4 linked regions of the Saccharomyces cerevisiae S288C genome follow. The protein of the gene in region 2 purifies or fractionates together with the protein of the main gene of each other region. This does not show direct contact. Each region holds a gene or a part of one and is shown on either strand. Other genes may lie near its edges.

What was found.
Region 1: the proteins of PRP43 (region 2) and NSR1 purify together in Saccharomyces cerevisiae (affinity purification with mass spectrometry, with the first as the bait; one study listed by BioGRID). This does not show direct contact.
Region 3: the proteins of PRP43 (region 2) and NOP13 purify together in Saccharomyces cerevisiae (affinity purification with mass spectrometry, with the first as the bait; one study listed by BioGRID). This does not show direct contact.
Region 4: the proteins of PRP43 (region 2) and CLF1 purify together in Saccharomyces cerevisiae (affinity purification with mass spectrometry, with the first as the bait; 3 studies listed by BioGRID). This does not show direct contact.

Annotation. Positions count from the first base shown.
Region 1 is NC_001139.9:805,848-810,929, reverse strand, and holds NSR1 (Nsr1p), read left to right. Parts: upstream 1-3,273; coding exon 3,274-4,518; downstream 4,519-5,082. Other genes in the region: YGR161W-C (uncharacterized protein), read right to left, coding at 425-703; RTS3 (Rts3p), read left to right, coding at 1,510-2,301; exosome non-catalytic core subunit MTR3, read left to right, coding at 4,909-5,082. UniProt on the Saccharomyces cerevisiae protein: Involved in pre-rRNA processing. Specifically binds nuclear localization sequences. Candidate for a receptor at the nucleus that may be involved in both RNA and protein transport. Binds telomeric sequences of the type (TG[1-3])n in vitro.
Region 2 is NC_001139.9:279,960-286,388, forward strand, and holds PRP43 (DEAH-box ATP-dependent RNA helicase PRP43), read right to left. Parts: upstream 3,979-6,429; coding exon 1,675-3,978; downstream 1-1,674. Other genes in the region: mRNA-binding protein NAB2, read right to left, coding at 1-564; GPG1 (Gpg1p), read right to left, coding at 818-1,198; protein kinase COQ8, read left to right, coding at 4,483-5,988. UniProt on the Saccharomyces cerevisiae protein: Pre-mRNA processing factor involved in disassembly of spliceosomes after the release of mature mRNA.
Region 3 is NC_001146.8:305,347-310,349, forward strand, and holds NOP13 (Nop13p), read right to left. Parts: upstream 3,267-5,003; coding exon 2,055-3,266; downstream 1-2,054. Other genes in the region: TDA7 (Tda7p), read right to left, coding at 1-1,634; MDG1 (Mdg1p), read right to left, coding at 3,611-4,711.
Region 4 is NC_001144.5:381,055-387,336, forward strand, and holds CLF1 (Clf1p), read right to left. Parts: upstream 3,481-6,282; coding exon 1,417-3,480; downstream 1-1,416. Other genes in the region: mRNA splicing protein MSL5, read left to right, coding at 1-1,198; TML25 (palmitoyl-(protein) hydrolase), read right to left, coding at 3,671-4,354; ESCRT-I subunit protein SRN2, read left to right, coding at 4,480-5,121; YPS1 (aspartyl protease), read right to left, coding at 5,457-6,282. UniProt on the Saccharomyces cerevisiae protein: Involved in pre-mRNA splicing and cell cycle progression. Required for the spliceosome assembly by promoting the functional integration of the U4/U6.U5 tri-snRNP particle into the U1-, U2-dependent pre-spliceosome.

The sequences.
Region 1 (5,082 bases), 520 kb from region 2:
GAACGAAAACAAAATAGTAGATACCCCGCTCTGTGAGTTTCTTCAAGGGTTCGACAAATGAATTTAGATACCGTTCAAATTTTTGATTTTCTTGGCGTTCTAAGAATGTCCTATCACAGCCTTGCCACTATCTGACTGACGGAGAAGAACATTGAGATATGATGTTACATTTTTTTATATTCATGAATATTAGTGCGTATTTACAGTGAAAAGCAATCGTCCAGAAATGCATAAACGAAGAATCGATATATAAAACACATTGTATTATAAACTAAGTAACACGTCATCTTCTGCACCTCCCATTGCGACTTCTTTGAGTTCAATCTGTAAGCTAATCGTATGCCGTTTTTCAAACGTGTTTGAGTAGAAAAGTAGCCACCATATGTGCACGGTGAGCACAAAACGTATAGCTCGCATCAGGCGTTCACCAGCCTTGAATTCGGCTCTGTCTCAAGGAAGGATTAGTACTCGGACACGCCGTCGCCGTCTCTTGCAATAAGTCCATGTTCTTGCTCTGGAATAAGGTGAACTCTTTAAGTATTTTCTCTTCTAGGCTCAGTTCTCCGAGTTGTAGGGCAAAATCAACCATGCCACTACTGCCATGATCGCTGCTTGTGCCAGTAGCATCACCTATGAAGCCCTGATCGGCTTGAATATTTGCGAAATGTGCATTCGAAGAAAGATGGTTGAAGTATCCAGACATAATGCTGTATAATGTTGACTATAATCGGTTGTTTTAGCTCTGTGGTATACTACAGATGTGCTAAAATATGCCGAAATCACCACAATATACAATAAATACGATATCATCATGGACGCATGCACGACATATTACAAGGCGGGGGAAAGAAGAAACGGAGCGCCAGAGCCACAACGAGGAAGCGGGTTTGTGGCTCTCACATCACAGCCCGCCCCTACCAAGATCGTAAGCAACGTGTTCAACACGTACCAAAAAACCATAATGGCAAGCCAGCGTTTACCTCACCCGCGGATGACACATCCTGCTCTTACATATGATCGCGGGCTGTCCACAAAAAACAACCTGGAAATACCAAATTTGGCAGCTACCGCGGAGTAGTGGTCATGACGGAGAGAGTTGCCAAAAAGTGACTGACTCGACTCCCCTCACAGCCCGGATCAATTTTTCCATGCGTTTCCACGGAAATCCGAGGTTTGCCGTTAGAGTCCCAAATTGGCGATGGATGATGAGATAATGCGCCCTTATCAATCACGCTAAAAATTGCCCCACGCTGTACTCAACGATCATAGCTGGCTATTGTTATCGTTGGCTTAGATGGTTTCGCCCGTACAAAAATAGACTTGCATATATATAAAGCTTATCTTCGGCCTCAGTCGTCTAAAAAACTATCTTGCCTAACATTATCTTGTCTTCTTTTCGTTCCCTTGAATCATATATAAGAAAAGATAATCAATCATTCGGCTATTTTCTTACAGATACATACATACGTATAATTCATCAATCATAGCATTAATAGAAGATAAAGTATAATGATCGCTACCTCCAGAGCCGTAAACATGAATAAAGAATCAAAACACAAGAAGGCTGTTGCCAAACCATGCAGAGAGAGACAAACTTCAGTTACAAGAGCCATGAGACCAGCTGTAGCACGTGATCCTCGCAGACTTTCGACGTCGTCGTCTCCTTCTTCGTCACCAATGTCAGCACAGAGAAGGCTTTCGAGGGAAGAAATAATAAACGAAATGGAAAAGGAGCAAGACGCTATTGTAGTAAGACTTCTACGGGAAATTGAAACTTTAAAAGAAGAAAACTCTAGGTTAAAAAATCAACTGCACCATCCGGTCCCGGCTAGAAGGTCGTCTCCATTTTTCGAAGGCGAGTCTGCCATCCTAGATGATGATGACTGCAATTATGGTTACACCCTCGACACTCCAAAGCTAAAGCTCACAGATGGTGCATCCAGACACACCGTACTTCCCTTAACACCCAAGGACTCCATGACCCACATTTCCCATTCCGCCAGAAGGTCAAGCCGGAACGCTTCCATATCTAACGGAACAAGCATCTCAGACACGATTTTCCCCATTGAGACTAAAATCCACTCAGCACCAACAACAAACAGAAACCTTCCCTCCGCCGATCTTCCACATCACACTCTTCTTCCACGTTCTCTAAGCGGCATTTCGTCTAGCGATTTAACCGAATCCGGTGCTCTTCTTCATGACAGGAGAAGGCGTTCTTCCAATTACAGTCTCGATGGCTCAAACTCTTTAAAGGCTGATCTCATGGCAAAGAGATTCCAAACTGGTTCATTGAAATAGGCTGTAAGCGAGATACATAAGAAAACAGAGTTTCTCTAAATATATTCTTCCTATTGATCTTTGGCAATCCAACACATATGCAGTTCGTGCACTTGCGTTATAAGCGTGACTTCTCGCTTGGTTTTTTTTTATAATTTTTTTTTAAAACCTCATTCTAAGTACAACTTTGGCGTTTTTCCAAGCTACTACTTATAATTATATGGTTTATTTCATAAATATATATATATATATATATATATATAGAAAATCAATATACATTTAAGCCTTACTGGAGATGACACTATTTTTGTTCACATTTTTTCTTATGCTCTAAATACCTCGGCCTCATACGCAGAGACAGTGTTGATATGTTTTTATACAAAGTAAAGGCAAAGAGAAGGCACAGACAGGATTTCACAGGCAGCTAAGTAATAACGAATATGCTTGCTTCACATATTTTGCCGCCAAATTACACGCTATGGAGCTACGTTCTACTAGTGGTTACTTACCGCTAGCTATTTAAACCCCATCACGTTGATTGTCTATTTCGCTATAGGTTATTTTGCCAAGAAAACTTACTGGGCAATACTTACATCCATTCAGATTTTTGGATAAAGCAATTGAAGAAAGACGACAGCAATTCGACTGGTGGTTGTTAATTACCCTTTGATCCTCTGATTTAAAGACGTAATCCTTCCTGGGGGTAAGTGCCTGATGTATGGGTCCCCATGCCCTTTTTTTTCGTTTCTTTTTTCACTCCATTTCTTTTTTTTTTTTTTTTTTTGGTGAAAAATTTGCAAGGGCAGCTCATCGCAAGAACGAAAATTTTCAATCCAATATTAAAAGTACTTAAGTGTAGCTGTTGCTGTCTGCACTTCCCAATCCATTGGTACCTTAAGTTATTTCCTTTCGTAGTATTTTTCTTACTTTTGCTTCCCAAAGACGAACTGTTAACCAATTTCGGATCACTCAACCCAGGCAGGATAAAATAAGATGGCTAAGACTACTAAAGTAAAAGGTAACAAGAAGGAAGTTAAGGCTTCCAAACAAGCCAAAGAAGAAAAAGCTAAGGCCGTCTCTTCCTCTTCCTCCGAATCTTCATCCTCATCTTCATCTTCATCTGAATCTGAATCTGAGTCTGAGTCTGAATCTGAATCTTCATCTTCATCTTCATCCTCTGATTCTGAATCCTCTTCTTCATCGTCTTCTGACAGCGAAAGTGAAGCTGAAACCAAGAAGGAAGAATCCAAGGATTCCTCTTCCTCTTCCTCTGACTCTTCTTCCGACGAAGAAGAAGAAGAAGAAAAAGAAGAAACCAAGAAGGAAGAATCAAAAGAATCTTCTAGCTCTGATTCATCCTCATCTTCATCTTCTGATAGCGAAAGCGAAAAGGAAGAGTCTAACGATAAGAAACGTAAATCTGAGGACGCCGAAGAAGAAGAAGACGAAGAGTCTTCCAACAAGAAGCAAAAAAATGAAGAAACCGAAGAACCAGCTACTATTTTCGTTGGTAGACTATCGTGGTCTATTGATGACGAATGGTTGAAGAAGGAATTCGAACACATCGGTGGTGTCATTGGTGCCAGAGTTATTTATGAAAGAGGTACCGATAGATCTCGTGGTTATGGTTACGTTGATTTTGAAAACAAATCTTATGCTGAAAAGGCCATTCAAGAAATGCAAGGTAAGGAAATTGATGGTAGACCAATCAACTGTGATATGTCCACAAGCAAGCCAGCTGGTAACAACGATCGTGCCAAGAAATTCGGTGATACCCCATCTGAACCATCTGACACTTTGTTCTTGGGTAACTTATCTTTCAATGCTGACAGAGACGCTATTTTCGAATTATTCGCTAAACACGGTGAAGTTGTTTCCGTCCGTATCCCAACACATCCAGAAACTGAACAACCAAAAGGTTTCGGTTATGTTCAATTCTCCAACATGGAGGACGCCAAGAAGGCTCTAGACGCTTTACAAGGTGAATACATTGACAACAGACCAGTTAGATTAGACTTCTCTTCTCCAAGACCAAACAACGATGGTGGTCGTGGCGGTAGCCGTGGTTTTGGTGGTCGTGGCGGTGGTCGTGGCGGTAACCGTGGATTCGGTGGTCGTGGTGGCGCTCGCGGTGGCCGTGGCGGTTTCAGACCATCTGGTTCTGGTGCTAATACTGCTCCATTGGGCAGATCAAGAAATACCGCTTCTTTCGCTGGTTCAAAGAAAACATTTGATTAATGAGAAAATGAAATGAATTTCAATTTCAATTTTTTCTCTTTTTACGTTAATTACTATATTCCATTTTTGAGGAAAAATTTGGTCTATAATATTTTGTGTACATTAGTAAGTAAATAGGATACATTCTTAAACCTTTCATTCACCATCTCTATTTGCCAACTTTTCTTCGAATGGCTTACTCTTTTTTTTTTCACGATGAGATGAGATCGCTAGATACGGAAGATTACAAGGCCTTGGAAAATACTCAAAAAATTTCAGTAATATGAAATGAATATCTAAATAAAAGCTTGGGCGTTGTGCTTGATTGAGCCACGAAAACTTCCTTTAAGGATTAGCACATACTCCACTTAAAAGTAGGAACATACTCACATTAAGGTGTTATCAGAATAAATGAATGTTCAAGACAGAAGGAGGTTATTAGGCCCTGCTGCTGCCAAGCCAATGGCGTTTAGCAACACTACTACTCATGTGCCAGAAAAGAAATCAACAGATTTGACACCTAAAGGCAATGAAAGTGAACAGGAACTTTCTCTACATACCGGTTTCATCGAAAACTGCAATGGA
Region 2 (6,429 bases):
AACGCCGGAAAAGGCTGATATGGGGGATGGAGTTGCAGGAGCATCTGTCTGCATTGCATTCTGGGTCCCTAGTTGTGGCTGAAGTGGTTGAAGTTGAGGTTGCTGTTGAGGTTGCTGTTGAGGTTGCTGTTGAGGTTGCTGTTGAGGTTGCTGTTGAGGTTGCTGTTGAGGTTGCTGTTGAGGTTGCTGTTGAGGTTGCTGTTGCGCGATGTCTGGTTGCTGTTGTTGTTGTTGCTGTTGTTGCTGTTGTGCGATATCCGATTGTCCCAAGCTTTGCGCATTCATCATTCTAATTTTGGAAACAATATTTTCAGCACTTTCTCCCTGTTGCAGAGCTTCTAATGCGAAAAAGGCTGTTTGAACAACATTTGCAAGCGTATCTCTCGAAACACTATCAAACAAACTAGCCAGCTCGTCTACGACAGATTCAACAGTACCACCGTTAACGATCAATAAGACAATATACTCCGCAACATACTTGATATCTTCGTTAAAGTTTGGTATACCAGCCAGTTTTTCGGCAACGATAACCTTCAAGTTTTCTGTGTACTGTTCTTGAGACATTTCTGATGTACTTCCACTTCCTTATGATCAGAGATAATTAGAAACCACTATATTTAGATGTTTTATGGAAGTATTTGGAAGAAAGATGTGTAAAATTTTGTATTTTTCCCATTTGCCACCAGCGAAGCGAATATCACTATTTCCCCGCTTCGTATTTTGTGTAACGATGTACGAGAATACAACAATGTTTATATAATTGTATATGAATGTTCTCTTCACATTAAACTCTGTGTATAAGGTCGCGTTGAGCAAGCTAGTGATAGAACCTTCTCCTAGGATACATAGAAAGAGTGTCATCAGTTCTTGTTAGCTCTTCTTGTAACTGTGTGAACAAATCGTCGATGTCCCAGTCCAGTTCTGACATTTTCATTGAAAGCACATCCCTATATAAACGTCTCGCCTGGTTCCTTTTTTCTAGCAAAAGTGCTAACAAAGATGGCAGTGTTGTGGCAGTAACTTCCCTTGATTCAGGCTCAATTTTGTAATGAACCACACGATCGGTAAGTGTGTGCAACTCTCCGACAACGGTGACGAGGTTTTCTTGAGTATTGGAGAATAACAAAACTTCCCAGAAATTATAAGTTGGTTCAGCCCCAGCCGAGGCTTCTTCCTCGATGTCACTTAGATAAAACATGATTGCTACTTAAAAGATTTCTTATCTTCTCTGTAGTTCAAATTAGATAGTGGAAAATAAGTTTTCTTAATATACAGATATATGCGGTTTACCCCAAAACTACTTTGATGGGAAGCCAACATCCTCGTTGAAATTGAGTGATTAATTTCGTTGCAAGAGTAAGATGCTCGTTTTAAGCATCGTTAAAGGAGTAATTTACCTTTACGGTAATCTTTGCCATTTTTAAGGGAACTTCCTCACACCGCGGTTTGTTTCTTTATTTGTTCTTGTAAAAACACCTCGAAGGGAATATAGGATGTGCTCTATATAGACATACCCAACAAAAGAAAAAAGCTTCTTTTTGATACAGGGCGCTATGATTTTAGTACAAGCAGCTTTAGGTTACGTGTACCTATTTCTAGTTGAATTTTCTCTCTATGAAATAGTCCTATAAATTTATATAAATCTATTTTTTTTTTTTTTTCGACACAAAATGTCTATTTCTTGGAGTGCTTACTCTTCTTTTTGTTTTTACCTTGTTTCAACTCGTTTAATCTATCAACTTTTTCCTTGATCCTTTCCAAAGATAATTTGACATCACCTTTTTGGAAATTGCTTAAGTCGTAGTATGCAGGCGCTATTTCAATCAGCCATTCGGGCCTGACCGAGGTCACAGTTCTTATGTAGTTCTTCGATGTGAGCACAAATTCATTGTAAATGACCCATTCTGCGTCGTGGCCAAGAACCGTACTAGGATGGATCAGAACATCTTGGTTATCTTTAACTGTGATGTATCCTTTAGCTCCCGATCTTTTTTTTGCTACTTGCATGAAAAACCCAGACGCAAGAGCCTTTCTGATGTTGTCAAAGTATTTAGGGCTTTCATAGTCTGTAGTGTTTAATTCTAGGTTGTAACGGTTCATTAATCTTTCTAATTGGGAGCGGATATTATCAGCAGCGGAAAGGGACCTGTAATTTAGATAGTGGTCACGGCACCACTTATGGATACCATATTCATAAGCTTCATCCGATTTGAACGCATGATATACATTTAGTAAGGTGATATGATCACCGTCTGGATGAGCAAAGATATTCTTGGCATCATCTGCTCGCTTCTTGTCCTTTGTTGGGCGAATAAACACGTTTGGAACCGATAGCATGGCCACTATAGTTAGTATTTCTTGAGAACATTGGAACTCAAAGGACCCAATTAACATCACCGCTAGCATAGGATCCAAGGGAAACTGGGATGCCAATCTACCTAGGGGTGTTAAGTTACCTTCGTCGTCCAGACATGCCAAATAATTTAGTTCTTCAAGGGCTCTCATCATTGTTTCCGGAGCCGGTGGATCCATAAAATCGAAATGGACCAAGTCATCAATACCTAATTTTTTTAGTTCTAGAACGGTGGAGGATAAATTGGAACGTAAAATTTCTGGGTAACTTTGCTCTATCAGTTCCTTTTGGAATGCCTCTTCAGTGTATAATCTGAAACATTTACCAGGCCTTGTACGACCAGCACGACCAGCTCTTTGTTGGGCAGAAGCCTTGGAGATAGGGGAAACAAGTAAAGACTCAACTCTAATTCTTGGATTGTAAACTTTTTGCTTTGAAAATCCTGGGTCAACGACGTAGACAATACCATCAATTGTTAAAGAAGTTTCAGCGATGTTCGTGGAGATAACAACTTTCCTGCCTGGTCTACCATTATGTGACTCTGGAGCAGGCTCGAATATTCTTTGTTGTTGATGCGGTGGTAATGAACCATACAGTGGGTATACGGATAAAGGTCCGCATCCCTCTTCTCTAACCAATTGATCACCTTCTAAGGAAATCTTTCTGACAGCGTCTTCAATTTCATCTTCACCAGTTAAAAATAACAAAATATCGCCAGCCTCTTCAGTGGCATGAATTTGCAAAACAGTACGAATGGCAGAATCTAAATAGTCCCTTTGAAATTCCGGTGTATAGTATAGCTCAACTGGATATGTTCTGCCCGGAACGGCAAGTAATGGAGCATCGTTGAAGTAGCGTTGGAACTTCTCTGCATCCAGAGTAGCAGACATAATAATTATCTTCAAATCAGGTCTCCTCTTGACTACTTGCTTCAAAAGACCCATCAAAATATCAGTAGCTAGTGTACGTTCGTGCGCTTCATCCAGAATGATACATGAATAACGCGACAAGTCATGGTCTTCCATTGCCTCTCTCAACAACATACCATCAGTCATATACTTCAATATCGTTTTATTAGAAGTTTTATTTTCGAATCTGATAGAATAACCAACTTCTTCGCCCAACTTGACATCCATTTCCTCAGCAACTCTCTGTGCAACAGACATTGCTGCGACACGACGAGGTTGAGTACATGCAACTTGAGTGTTCTCTAAGTGTGGCATCTCATCGAATAAAACGAATTGAGGAATTTGTGTCGTTTTACCGGAACCTGTTTCACCAACAAAAACCATAATCTGGTTATTTTGATAAAGTTTTAAAAACTCATCTCTCTGGGCATGTACTGGCAATTCTCTTCTAATTTTCAGGATATCAACATATTTTGGTGTAAACTCCCTACCGGTAAATGGATTTATTTTTCCATCTTCAAGTTTTTGGGCCTCTTCTGCTGAAGTATGGTGACGTTGCAAGCCCTTGAATTCACCAGCATCATGATGGACAAGTGGCTCTTCGGATGGAAGAGGATGCTGTTTGGATAATTCTTCCGCAATCTCGGCGGCCTGCTCAGGAATAGAGGTCTCAACTGGATCCGGGTGTTCGGACGAGAATCTTCTTTTGGAACCCATTATTATTCTTGCAGTCCTAATCTTTCTATGCGCGTTTATAAGGTTATACTATCGTTACTCAATCGCATCCCCGTAAACGTGTTAAATATTACAATTGAATAAGTTTCTTTTCACCTCATCTCGCATTTGAAAATTTTTCAGAGGCACCGAAAAAAAAGAAAAAGAAATAAAAAAGGACTTGTGTATAAGATCGCTAGATCAATAAAAAGCAATCTGGTAGATTTATGGGACTCCGAAATGATACTGTCAGTTGAAACAGCAAACGAATACAGAGCGTAAAACTAAACGACCTTAGTTTGGAAAATGATGAAATTTGTCCATAACTATATACTATCAGTCAGCAAACTATGATCCGGGTAATATTCATTTGTAAAGCTTTAGATCTGTAATAGTACCCAGTACTTTTTTAGATGATCTTAATTAGTTAAGATCTTTCTGGTACTGTACTCAGTACGCTTCCTTGGCATCCTTATTGGGACCTGTTCGGCTAAGATATCGTTCGATATGGTTACAAATATGGTGAAATTGAGGAATTTAAGGAGATTGTATTGTTCATCCCGTCTCTTAAGAACTATACAGAACGGGAGAATTTCTTCTGTTTCTTCAATATCGTTGAGTAAGAAATATACTACAAAATCTGCCAAAGAAGGTGAAGAAAACGTAGAAAGGAAGCATGAGGAGGAAAAAAAGGATACATTAAAAAGTTCCAGTGTACCAACTTCACGAATATCGAGATTGTTCCATTATGGCTCACTGGCAGCAGGGGTGGGCATGAATGCCGCAGCAAAAGGCATATCGGAAGTTGCAAAGGGCAATTCTCCCACTTGGAAATCTTTGATTCTATCAGATTCGAATATTGACAGAATTACCAATAAATTTTCTAAAATGAGAGGTGTTGCCCTTAAAATAGGGCAACTATTGTCTTTTCAGGATGAGAAAGTGTTGCCAAAGGAATTATACGAAATTTTATCAAGGGTACAGAATAGTGCAAATCATATGCCTCAAAGGCAATTGGAAAAGGTTATGGCCAAGGAATTAGGTGCTAATTGGAAGACAAAGTTTTCCAAATTTGACAAGATACCTATGGCAGCTGCTAGTATCGGACAGGTACATGCGGCAGAGTTGCCCAGTGGTCAAAGAGTGGTTGTCAAAATTCAATATCCTGGGGTTAAAGAATCCATTGATTCGGATTTGAATAGTTTACTAATGTTACTTACAGCCTCAAGTTTATTACCGAAGGGATTATTTTTGGATAAGACAATTGCCAACGCTAGAACTGAGTTAAAATGGGAATGTGATTACAACAGAGAGGCTAGAGCTCTACAAAAGTTTGAGGCGTTGCTAAAGGATGACCCAGCGTTTGAGGTTCCTCATGTGTTTCCTGAATATACAACCGATAATATTATAACTATGACACGTATGGAGGGAACTGAAATAATGAAATTGCCCAAGGCATCACAAGAAACCAAAAATTTTATTTCGGAGAATATCATGAGACTATGTCTGGAAGAAATTGCCACTTTCAAGTATATGCAAACGGATCCTAATTGGGCAAATTTCCTCTATAACGGTAGGACAAAGAAAATTGAATTATTGGATTTCGGTGCCTCCAGACCTTTTGCAGAAGATTTTATTCTAAAATATAGAAAACTTTTAACTTACGCCACATTGAGAGATAGGAAAGGGGCGTACGAAATGTCTGTACAACTGGGCTATCTCACAGGCTTAGAATCGCAGTCCATGAAAGACGCGCACGTCGATAGTGTACTTACACTTGGTGAACCTTTTAGGGGTGATGTAGATAAATCTTTCGATTTCAAGGATCAAACAGTCTCAGACAGGATTAGAGGTAATATCGGGTTAATGTTGAATGAAAGACTATGTCCGCCACCAGAGGAAACATACTCGTTACATAGAAAATTTAGTGGCATTTTTCTTTTGTGTGCAAGAATGGGTGCGTCTGTTCATTGTGCAAAGCTTTTTAAAGAGATTTTTGCCTATAAAGTTTAAAATACTTCCCCGCTATTTGTATATATGCATATCTTTATATTATGAAAGATATTTTTTTATTTACTTTTAGTCCGTATACTTTTATTTTGTTTTGTTAGACAATCTCGAAGAACAAAAAAAAAAGATAAAACAGAAAGATAAATGTGCACTCTTTTGTACCTCGTTCTGCTATAGTACTTCCAACCAGATCGACTGAAAGATTACTAGTATATACGTCATGTTTTTAAATAGTAGTTCCCATTCTGCTTCAGTGAATTAGATATTTTTTTCCAATCATTCTCTTTAAACCCTCTGCGATAGTGATCCAACATTTTCTTAGCAACGCTAATCCTTCTGCCAATAGCTTCTCAAAATATACACCATTAACTTTACAACATTACATAATATGACATTCCACAGAACCTCTCTATTCCATTTTACCCCATTTCAAATTACTTTTTA
Region 3 (5,003 bases), on a different chromosome or scaffold from region 2:
GCCTTAAAATTGAATTCGTTGCTGAACGGATTATTAGCAGAAGCAGTCTCGGTGTTTCGTTGCTGTGATCCCGAGTCTTGAGCTTGAAGTGACGCCTCTTTTGCTTGGGCAGTTGTTGGGAATCCCGTTCTGCGCCCAATCTCGTGACAGAAGGAATCGTTTTCCTTGAAATGCCTCTTTGCCTTCCTTTTTCTAACCAGCATGAACCAAACTACTAGTACACATATAAGAATACCACCGACGCTTCCTACCACACTTCCAACAATGGTACCAGTATTTGTCTTTGAAGTGCCTTGGTTTTTGTTATTATCCAAACTGCCATCAAGCCAGTGCTGATAGAAAGACATGTCAGCTGTGATCGTCGAAGATGGAGCGGAAAATGAGGTTACCTCACTTTTTGCAACTGCTATGGTCGTAGGTAATCCCGTCACGAACGTTGTAGAGGAGTCAGTAATATCATATGTTTGGGTATAGAAATAATAAATAGTTTTTGAATCTTCGGAGCTTGAAATGGCTACCGTATTGAAGACCTGACTGGATGTTGGTATGGGAGACGTAGAAATCGTACTAGTGCTGGGTGTTTGAGTGGTGGGTGGTATACTGCTGCTAGTAGTAGATTGTAAGGACTGAAAAGTATACGTGCTTGAGTAAGCACTTGTTGTATCATCTGATGATGATGATGATGAAGGACGGTTTGAAGGTACTTTACTGCTGGATGAGCTAACAGAACTTGACGTTGGCACGGAAATCGTGCTTATGGAAACTGTCGAAGATGAAGCTGATGGACTGAGTTTCGATGATTTGCTTATGGTTGAAAAATCGTTCGTCGATGAAAGCGATGAACTGTAAAACGATGTGGAAGTATTCCGACTGGAACTTGGGAATGTGGTATCTTTATTTGATATCGTAGAAGGAGAAGAAATTGTTGAGAACCAACTAGAAGAGAGTTCTGAAGTGGTACTAATTTGAAATGAAGTTGCAGATATGGAAGACAAGTATGTGTAACTAGGGGATATTACGGTGGGTGTTGATGGTGAGAAAATAGAAGATCTGCTGTCGAACGAAAACAATTTAGTGTCTGAATATGATGAAGATAGTGATAATGACAACGAGGACGATACCAGTAACGAAGATGGTGATGATAACGACGACCATGATGATGACAGCGATGTAGCTGATGACGATAACGTTGGTGTTGTTGATGTTAACGATGACCATTCCGACGTTATTGACGACGATGATGACATTGGTGACGTCGATGAGAAAATGGACATGGATGGTGTAATTATTGAGTATGAGGAGGTAGCTGGGTCATATTGGGAACTATACGTATCTTGCTCGCTCGATGAACTGCTGTCGGTAGATGATACTAAAGTACTTGTCGAAGATACATCAATGGATGTATGCAAAGTCTCATCATATGTTAAGCTTGTAGAATAATATGTAGGAGTAGCTGTACTAGACACGGGCGGTAATGAGGTCAGACTTCCTTGTTGGGGTACTAAAGTTGAAGTAGATGCGAAGACAACATCCGTTGATCGTGAATTCAGACTGCTACTTGGTTCACTGAATGACAGGGATATCGTATCAGATTCTCCAAGGGTGGTCCTTCCGATGGTACTATTGGAGTTCATACGATGGCCAAAATAATTACTCTATCCAGCTTTTCTTTTAGATTTCCTTCAGATATCGACGGATGGGGATTGAAATACTAAATGTGTGTCTTAAGCGAAAGTGTGCCAACAACCAGTCCAAAAAACGGATCAGTAGTGTTTCGGTACCTGGTGAGTAGTTTAGGATTTTATGAGTGTACGGCGATTATCAGTGTATTACTAATATGCGAACCGCTCCTAAAGATCTTGTTTACCTCATTTCTTTCTTCTTTTTTTTTTTTTTTTCCGTGCGTTCTCCCCGTGCCTTGATAAGCAATAATGGAAAAAATAAAAATAGCAGCAATTGGTTATACAATGTATATATAAAACATGAATGATTGAATAATTTACAAGCGAAATAATCGCATTATATACGTGGCACCTACAGTCAGTTCACGCTGATTAGTCAAACTTCACTTTCTTACCTTGTGATGGGACAATAGCTGCAGAACCTCTCTGAGCAGTGGCTAAAGCTACACTGCTCTTAGTTCGGTTATTGGAATCTACAGGTGGACGTCTGTTGGCGTTGGACCGCTTGTATTCGGGTTTGCTGCCGTTATCCTGTCCCGCACGATCGTATCCTTTGTTGTTAGAGATATCAAATGATGAGGAATTGTTTCTGGATACATTTTCAACCTTCTTACGAACTTGTCTTTTACTTCTATCTTCACCGTATTCCATTCGCAATGGCCTTCCGGCAATTTTTCTACAACTTTTATCCTTTAATGCATTAGTAGATCCTTCTTCATTCTTGAAGTCGATAAATGCGAATCCTTTACATTTACCACTATCTTCGAATGTTGCCATGCGGATTTTCACGATATCACCACAATGTTGGAAGTGTTTTCTTAACAGATCATCTGTGACATCGAATGACAAATTACCGACAAATAGAATCCTTGACGGTGGATTTTTGGACATGGCAACTAAATCGTCCTTGTCTGGCCTACCTGAATAATTTTCGGAGTCCTTGATTAGCATATTCCTTCCGTTTAAATGAGATTCAGATAATTCTAAGACCGCTTTCATCTGCTCGACGTTCTTGAAAAACATGTAGCAAAATCCCTTATTTTTCATGGCGTTAGAGTTCTTGGCAGCAACACGAGGCATGGATAACCTGGTTATGTCTTGTTCGGTGACTCTGCTCTTTTCATCTTCGTTGTCTTTTGTTTTAGCAATAAAAAATCTTACTAAATCGTCCTTTGTGGTGTCGAAGGATAAGTTACCAATCCAAACACCATATTTATTTTCATCTTTCTTCTTCTTTTTTACAACCTCGCCAGATTCATCTCCTGTTGGAGTGTTGATTGTAGATTCTTCACCCTGGGCGTCTTTCTCAGAAGCACCAGACTTTTTCTTTTCAGCATCTTCTTTGTATTCCTCGATTGACTTAGGGTCGATATTGTACTTCGCATTCAACTCCTCTAGAGTAACTTTACCTCTTCTCAAGAGACGTTTCTGTTTTTTTGATAGGGGAATGGAGCTTTTCAGGTCAATCTCAATTTCATCTTCAGCTTTTCTCTTTTTTGTTGGATCGAGTAAAGCCTTCTTGACTTGTTCCTCGTTATCCTTTTTTGTAACAGCATCTTCTTTCGACAGTTCTGTTTCTGACATTCTATCTCAAATTATAGAAAGTTGTTGGGTTTAGGTAATGTTCTGTGGGGAAAAGGATTTCTCTTTGTTGTATGGTTAAATTTATCATCTATGCTCATCGCAATTTTTTCTTTCAGACTGAAAAATTTCAGGTTTTTGCATTTCAACGGGAAACGTGACTCCTACAGAATTTTCTGAGCAAAGGCGTACAAGCGAAATACAAAGACAAGCATGTGCTTTCGGCAAAAGTGCGATCCTACATCAGAGTTTACATACAACATGGTATTGTTATTAATACATAATTAGGTTTTACATAGTTAGGTATGGCGAGTACGTCATATATTTAGGTATTCTCCTGATTGTTTTCACTTCAAAAGCTGGGCCAACTTTTTAAAGAACCCTCCATTCTTAGCAGGGTTCTTTTGGACACCTTTATTTGGTGTTTCTTTCGTGCCCTTAGGTTTCGAAGGTCTAGTAGCTTTCTTAGCTTCGATTTTTTTTGCGGCAGCGGTAGGAGCGCCCTGTTTCGTCTCGTAAGTTTGAGTCTCAGTCGCAACCTTGCCGGTTGGTTTCACAGAAGTCTCTTTAGCATGGCTTGTAATTGAGCTTACAGGTACTTTTTCTTCCGGTTTTTCAAATTTAGCGGATTTACTTAATGGTTCCTTATTTTGATCTTCTGAAGCTTCAGCGTCTGCACTTGTACTGGTGTCCTTACCGCCGCCTTTATCTTCGTCCTCTTCCTCTTCTTCCTTTTCAAGATCTTCGGCCGATAGTTCATATAATCTAGACTCAGAAGATTGCGTCTTACCCAAACCGTCCGTAACATATCCTTCACTCTTAACTAGATTAACTTTGGGGTGATTCTCTTCATACGGCTTGATTGCTTTTTCCTCGTTTACACCAACATTATTCTCAATTATCGTTGTAGTACCGCTTAAGCCATCCGCATTCTTGCCCGTTTTGTTCACCTGCTGGGTTTCATCCTCGCTATCGGGCAATTCAACCACTTCTTGGGAAAATATCGACCTTTCTCCGGTTTGTTTATTTGTCTTGATCACTCTCTTGATCTTGAACTTTCTTAATTTTTTTGCACGTTTTTCAGCTTCTGGTTCGATAAGAGGGGCATTCTTTGAAACAGCTAATCCGGCACTTTCAGGTACCAGCGTGCTAGAGCCATTTTCGCGTTGCTTTATTACGTCTTCCTCGGTAATAAAGTTGTTTTCCACTCCCTCGTCGATGTTCACCTTGTAGTCTTTGCTTGGCAGCCATTGGCCATCAACAATAAACTTGAAATAAAACTTGCTGCTAGGGCTATCAAACGTTACTGGCAGCGTTATTTCGAAGGCGCCACTGGGGTCCTTCACCATCGGCAAAGTACCTTTCCAGTCGTCGAACGTGCCTGTCAGAATAATTGCTTCGGGTCCTTTGGGCCATTTGAACGTAAATTGAGGTAAGCTCGATTGCATTCTAGAAACACTTTCCCTTTAATATTATCTTATAATGCTTAGAAAGTTAAATACCATCAAGAGAAAGAAAATTAGGTAATACAGAGGACAGAAGGACAGAAGTCGTTTCTATATTACATAAAAATCGGCCACCTTTTATTTTTTTAAACCACAAGAGAGGGGGAGAATGATGGATGTAAAACCTTAACCATGTCAATGCAAGGGCTCCCGCCCCAAAAGTTCCTATCGGGCCCCTTCGCTTCGCTGCCCCAGATATTTGCGGAAAAGGCCAGCCTCGCAGTATTTCACCAAT
Region 4 (6,282 bases), on a different chromosome or scaffold from region 2:
ACTGCGTACGAACGATTTTGTGCCCCCCTCCAGGAAAAATAGGTCACCTTCTCCGCCACCAGTTTATGATGCCCAAGGTAAAAGAACGAATACCCGTGAGCAGAGGTATAGAAAGAAACTAGAGGATGAACGTATTAAACTTGTTGAGATAGCCCTAAAGACCATCCCTTACTTCGTTCCTCCGGATGATTACAAGAGACCTACCAAATTTCAGGACAAGTATTATATCCCGGTGGATCAGTATCCTGATGTCAATTTTGTTGGTTTATTATTAGGTCCTCGTGGACGTACGTTAAGAAAGCTGCAAGAAGATTCGAATTGTAAGATTGCAATTAGAGGAAGAGGTTCAGTCAAAGAAGGTAAGAATGCAAGTGACTTACCTCCAGGCGCCATGAACTTTGAGGACCCCTTGCACTGTTTAATTATCGCAGACTCGGAAGACAAGATCCAAAAAGGTATAAAAGTTTGTCAAAACATTGTTATCAAAGCGGTGACATCTCCGGAAGGCCAGAATGACTTGAAACGAGGACAACTGAGAGAATTGGCGGAACTTAATGGTACTTTAAGAGAAGATAACAGGCCCTGTCCAATCTGTGGTTTAAAAGATCATAAAAGGTACGATTGTCCAAACAGAAAAATCCCAAATATACAGGGCATTGTTTGCAAAATATGTGGACAAACTGGACATTTCAGTAGAGACTGTAACTCATCGTCTCAAAGAATGAGCCGTTTTGACAGAAACGCCACGGTAAATAATTCTGCGCCAATACAGAGCAATGACGTACACTATAATAGCAATACTCATCCAATTCAAGCACCAAAAAGATCTCGTTATGACAATAACTCGACGGAACCTCCTTTAAAATTTCCGGCTTCTTCACGTTATGCACCATCACCTTCACCTCCTGCGTCACATATTTCGAGGCAAGCTCAAAACGTGACGCCTACACCCCCTCCCGGCCTAACATCAAGTAGCTTTAGTTCCGGAGTTCCAGGAATCGCCCCTCCCCCATTACAAAGCCCTCCAGAGTCGGAACAACCGAAATTTTCGCTACCTCCACCTCCCGGTATGACTACGGTACAATCCTCAATTGCACCTCCTCCTGGCCTAAGCGGTCCTCCAGGGTTTTCTAATAACATGGGCAATGACATTAACAAACCTACACCTCCGGGACTGCAAGGGCCTCCCGGATTATAATACACTCCCATTATACAATATCTGCATTTTTTTTTATTTGTGTTGAAGGTATGTAGTCTCTATTTTGCATAGTTCCTTTTTTTGTTGGTTTTTTGCCTTCCTGGTTATTATTAACTTTTGATATTTAATTTACTTACTAGCTTATTCTACTACTGTTTAGTTTCTACGGCCTGAACTACAATGACAAAAATATTATTTCACGATACCCTTACCTTTATTCAAAGTGCCTGTTCCTGTTTCCATTTTTTGGCTAGTTCCAAGAACTTTGATGGTTTTGGCTTGTCATCATCGATATCATCAGGAAAAATGTAATCCACGAATTCTTCTTCCACACCGTTCTGTAACCTCACTTTTTTGATTACTTTAGGGAATCTTTTCTTGACGGTTTCTTGATCGAGTTCAGTACCGTAAGTTTCTTCATAGTCTTTTAGCGCTTCCAAAATAGACAGTCTCCCTTGTTTATCATCCTTCTCCTTGAAAAAAACTATCGCCTCTTCAAAAACTTTTCTTGCCTCCAATTTATTCTCATCGGTAATTTCAAACTCTATGTCTTCATCCACATTTTCGCTTTGCAGTTTTGCTAAATCTAATAGTTGTTGCTCCGTCGGGGTTGAAGTTTGATACATGGCGAATTCGATCCAGCTTTGGGGGGAATATTGGTTGAGCTCCAAATATCTTCTATAAAGCTTCCTTGCCTTTTCAAATTCTTGTGATTCTGTCTCAAATGTTATGTATTTTTGAAGTAATACAATTTTAGCCTCCTTTGTTAAGAAATCAGAATTTTCATCTAGTGCAATTGTATATATACCTCTTACTCTATCCCAATCTCCTAAATTTTCTTCTAGTTCTCCATATTGTGACCAAATTTGTAGATCAGAGGGCTGAAATTCAATAAATTTCTCATATATTTTTCTCACACGATCAAATTCCTTCAACTTCACTTCCAACTCGATATATCCTTTGAAAGTTTTAGCCTTAGGACATAAACCGATTGCTTTACCCAAAATTTTTCTCGCCTTCGGTACATCATCATGTCGTATCAGAAATTTAGCATACATTAGCCATATTTTGGAAAAAGTGAAATGTTTATGAGGGATGATGTCGTCAATTAACCTCTGAAAAAGTTCTTCTTCTAAAAGCGAATTTTCCAATTCTAACTCAACATAGCATATATATCTCATCCACAGATAAATATACCTTTTCCACTGAACATTTTTTGATAGTTCTTTTGGTCGGCTGTCCACAATAGCTTTCTCGAAAGTTTGCATTATTTGTTTGGGGAAACTTTCTGAAATGAGATCCAAGTACAGCCACCAGGTGTCATAATCATAGGCGTTATTACTCAATATTGTTTCATACTCCATTTTCCTTTTATAGCTAATAGTTTCTTCTATTGAGTTTATGTCACCAAACTGCTTTTCAAAATCCAACAGTCCTGCCTTGAGCAATTGATTGGAGGGCCATTTTTCTATAGCAATTTGATAAAGAGCACTAGATCTTTCGTATTCTTGCTGCGCAGCTTCCCAATGAGCAAATGAATTTACTAATTTTGCAACCTCCATATCAGACCAAATCTGTAAATTTTGGAGGTTAGCTACTGTGTCTATCGCTAAAGAATACACACTTCTCGTAAATTCAGTATTACCATGTCTATTTTCAAACCTCACCCACTTTAGCCATGTCTGCATTTGCGGGTGAGCCATGACGTATTTTGAGTAAATCTCTCTTACACCGTTCCAGTTTTTCTGTCTTATTTCAAAATCCACGAAAGAATTCCATGCATTAACCCCTGGCTCCAAGGAGCACCATTTGGTGTACAGTGATCGTACAATTTCAACGTTGTTTAACGACTCTTCGACAATGAGATACTTGTACCATAACTTGTCTACTCTGGGCAACGTACTAATAGCTCTGTTCATAAGATTCCTAGCATGGTTAATACATTTGACTTTCAGCTCAGCATCAATGTATCGTATCCAAAGGGGGATGAATGAACTATCTACTAATAATGCTCTTTCAAAGATAGATCTGGCGCGCCTCATGTCGTGTTGTTCGATTTCGAATTGCGCATAACGAATCCATTGTCCCATATCCAGTCGGTTTCTCTTCAAATAACCCTCATATTCTGTTCTCTTCCTTCGTTGATACTCTCGAAGTTCCTCCAAGTCTAATATATCAATATTAGTCGATCCTCTTGCTTTTTGCCCCTTCTTGTACACATCCCGCAGAATCTGCTCCGCAGAAACATGCGTATCAACGGCTGTTGGCTCTAAAGTGTCCATGCTGGCAATAGTAGAGTACTTTTAGCTCAAGTTTGTCTATCTATTATGAACTTGCATAATCAATGAGTCTCATCACCCCAACTATTTGGCACCAAGGTTTTTAATTTTCTATCGCGTCTTACGGATGTATATAAATTATTTAACCAAGTATAATAGCGGTTAAATTGAACTCGCAATATTAGGAAAAGAGCTATGATGATAAGCTCTTCTTGATAAATGAAGCCAAGTCTTCTAATTCATCTGGAACTGTAGAATGGGCCATACCTTTGTATACTTTAAATTCATAATTTTGTATCTCACAGCTATCTTGATAGAACTGTTTTGCCTTTATACCTAGTCCAATAGGAACTACTGGATCCATGTCACCATGCCCATGAAAAATTGGTGTCTTTACATTAATGCCATTCTTATGTTGTTTCAGAATTCCTGGGATGGAACAAAATCCCGACAGAGCTACTATACCACCGATTTTCCATGGTAAAGTAACTGATGTTGCGAGAGCTAATGCGGCACCCTGAGAGAAACCTCCGATAATAATCTGCTCCGGTTTAATTCCTTTATCAATTTCTTGCTTAACCGTCTTTTCTATGGAATTCAAAGAATTCATAAAACCGTCACTGTCAACTTTGGAAAAACTAGGATCCCATTCCAAGATGTCAAACCAAGCAGGCATCAATGCACCGCCGTTTGCTGTCACATGAAGCTCTGGAGCATTAGGAAAAACAAAATTAGTATGCTGGAAAGCGGCAGGGTCTCTCTGTTGTAAATACTGAGCTAAAAATCCCCATCCCGAACCTGTATCACCTAATCCATGCAAGAATATGATAGTTTGGCGTGCTGGCTGAATTTTTGCTGCAACTCTAAGTCCATTCATATTCGATAGCGCTCAAATGGGCAAATATAGTGTATGTGTTCTTATTTTCGTTCTCTTTTGCTAACATTTTTATTTCATACAGAAGCCATTTTTCCCTAGAATAGGCGTTCTGAAAAGAAGGAAATATGAAAGTAAAGGCTACAAAACTAAGGATAAAACAACGAAGGAAAAATAAGGGGCTCAATATAAGCAGATTAGATATTATCAGAGCAGAAATGGATGTGGTACCATCTCCGGGTTTACCAGAAAAAGTAAACGAAAAAAGCAAAAATATTCCCTTACCTGAAGGAATTAACCTTTTATCATCAAAGGAGATAATCGATCTAATTCAAACCCACAGACACCAATTAGAGTTATACGTCACAAAATTCAATCCCTTAACGGACTTTGCTGGAAAGATTCATGCATTCAGAGATCAATTTAAACAATTGGAAGAAAATTTTGAAGATTTACATGAGCAAAAAGATAAGGTCCAAGCCTTATTAGAAAACTGTAGGATTTTAGAATCCAAATATGTAGCTAGCTGGCAAGATTACCATTCCGAATTTTCAAAAAAATATGGTGACATAGCATTAAAAAAGAAATTAGAACAAAACACAAAGAAACTTGATGAGGAGAGTTCACAGCTAGAAACTACCACAAGGTCCATTGACTCAGCCGATGACCTGGATCAGTTCATCAAAAATTATCTGGACATACGAACACAATATCACTTGAGGAGAGAGAAACTGGCGACCTGGGATAAACAAGGTAATTTGAAATACTAGTTCAGCAGCTACCGCCATTATCAATATGTACGTATATAGACTATACTTTATAGATTATTCTAGATGCCAAACGAATTATTAGAATATTAAAGCCTTTGATTATAGGCCATATCCCAGGTAAATAGTATACTAGGAATGAGAAAAAAAAATGTGAATAAATGGTAACCTATTCTTAGTGGGTAAGATAAACTATTGTGAAGTAAAAATGAAGACCGCCAACGTAACAATAAAAAATTAATAATAAAAAAAAACTTTGCCCAAGCGAGAGCAACGATTTCCGCCAGAAACTCCAACTGGCTTGGAGATGTGAATGTCTAAACTTTGTGCAACGGTTTTCAGATGAATGCAAAAAGAAGAGAAATTAATGTGAGGGGTAAAGATGGAACTATATGATCACCAACATTTCTTTTACTTGATGTAGAAGTGGCGGATGCAGTACTGGTCGTCAGGTTACCGCTAAAGGAAGCAGTTTGTGAGGAATTTACAGTAAATATGTTACCACCGGTAACAATAGATGCACTTGTGGACCAAGTGTTTGTATAGCCTGGTGCCTTTACGGCGCTTGGAACAGAGGATGTAATAATTTCGATATTTTCGCTTGTGGTATTATAGCGAGCTTGTGCCATGGATATTTCAAGATTCTCCAAATCATAAACCACGTACGCGTTAGTCAAAAATGAATCACCCAAAATGGTACCTGTGTCATCACTCGTTGGGATAATACCTAAAAGACATGTAGTGCCAGTACTCAAGATAAAACTCGAAAGTGGTGCATTGATGTGAAAACCACCAAAATCGAACACTATTTCCATACTATCATCAGATGGACAGTCCAATACGTAATACCCTATCCTGGAAGAGTATTGCGCACCTAGTTCAGTAGCGATCATACTTACCACTGTTTGAGGTAAATAAGTCAAAGTAGTACCGGAATCCAACAAAGCAGGTATTTTAGTGGTAGTCAAGGTCTTGTTACTACTCCCAGAATCACTAATACCGATACCATTAATAGTGACATCAAATTGAATGGGAGAGCTAAATCCACTAGCACTCAGAGTGTTTACGATGGGGATTGTGTATAAGGTGCCGGTATATTTACTGTGGTCCACGGCTCCGAACAAAATGGTGCCATGCATAGCGTCCGAGTCGTTCAAATACAAA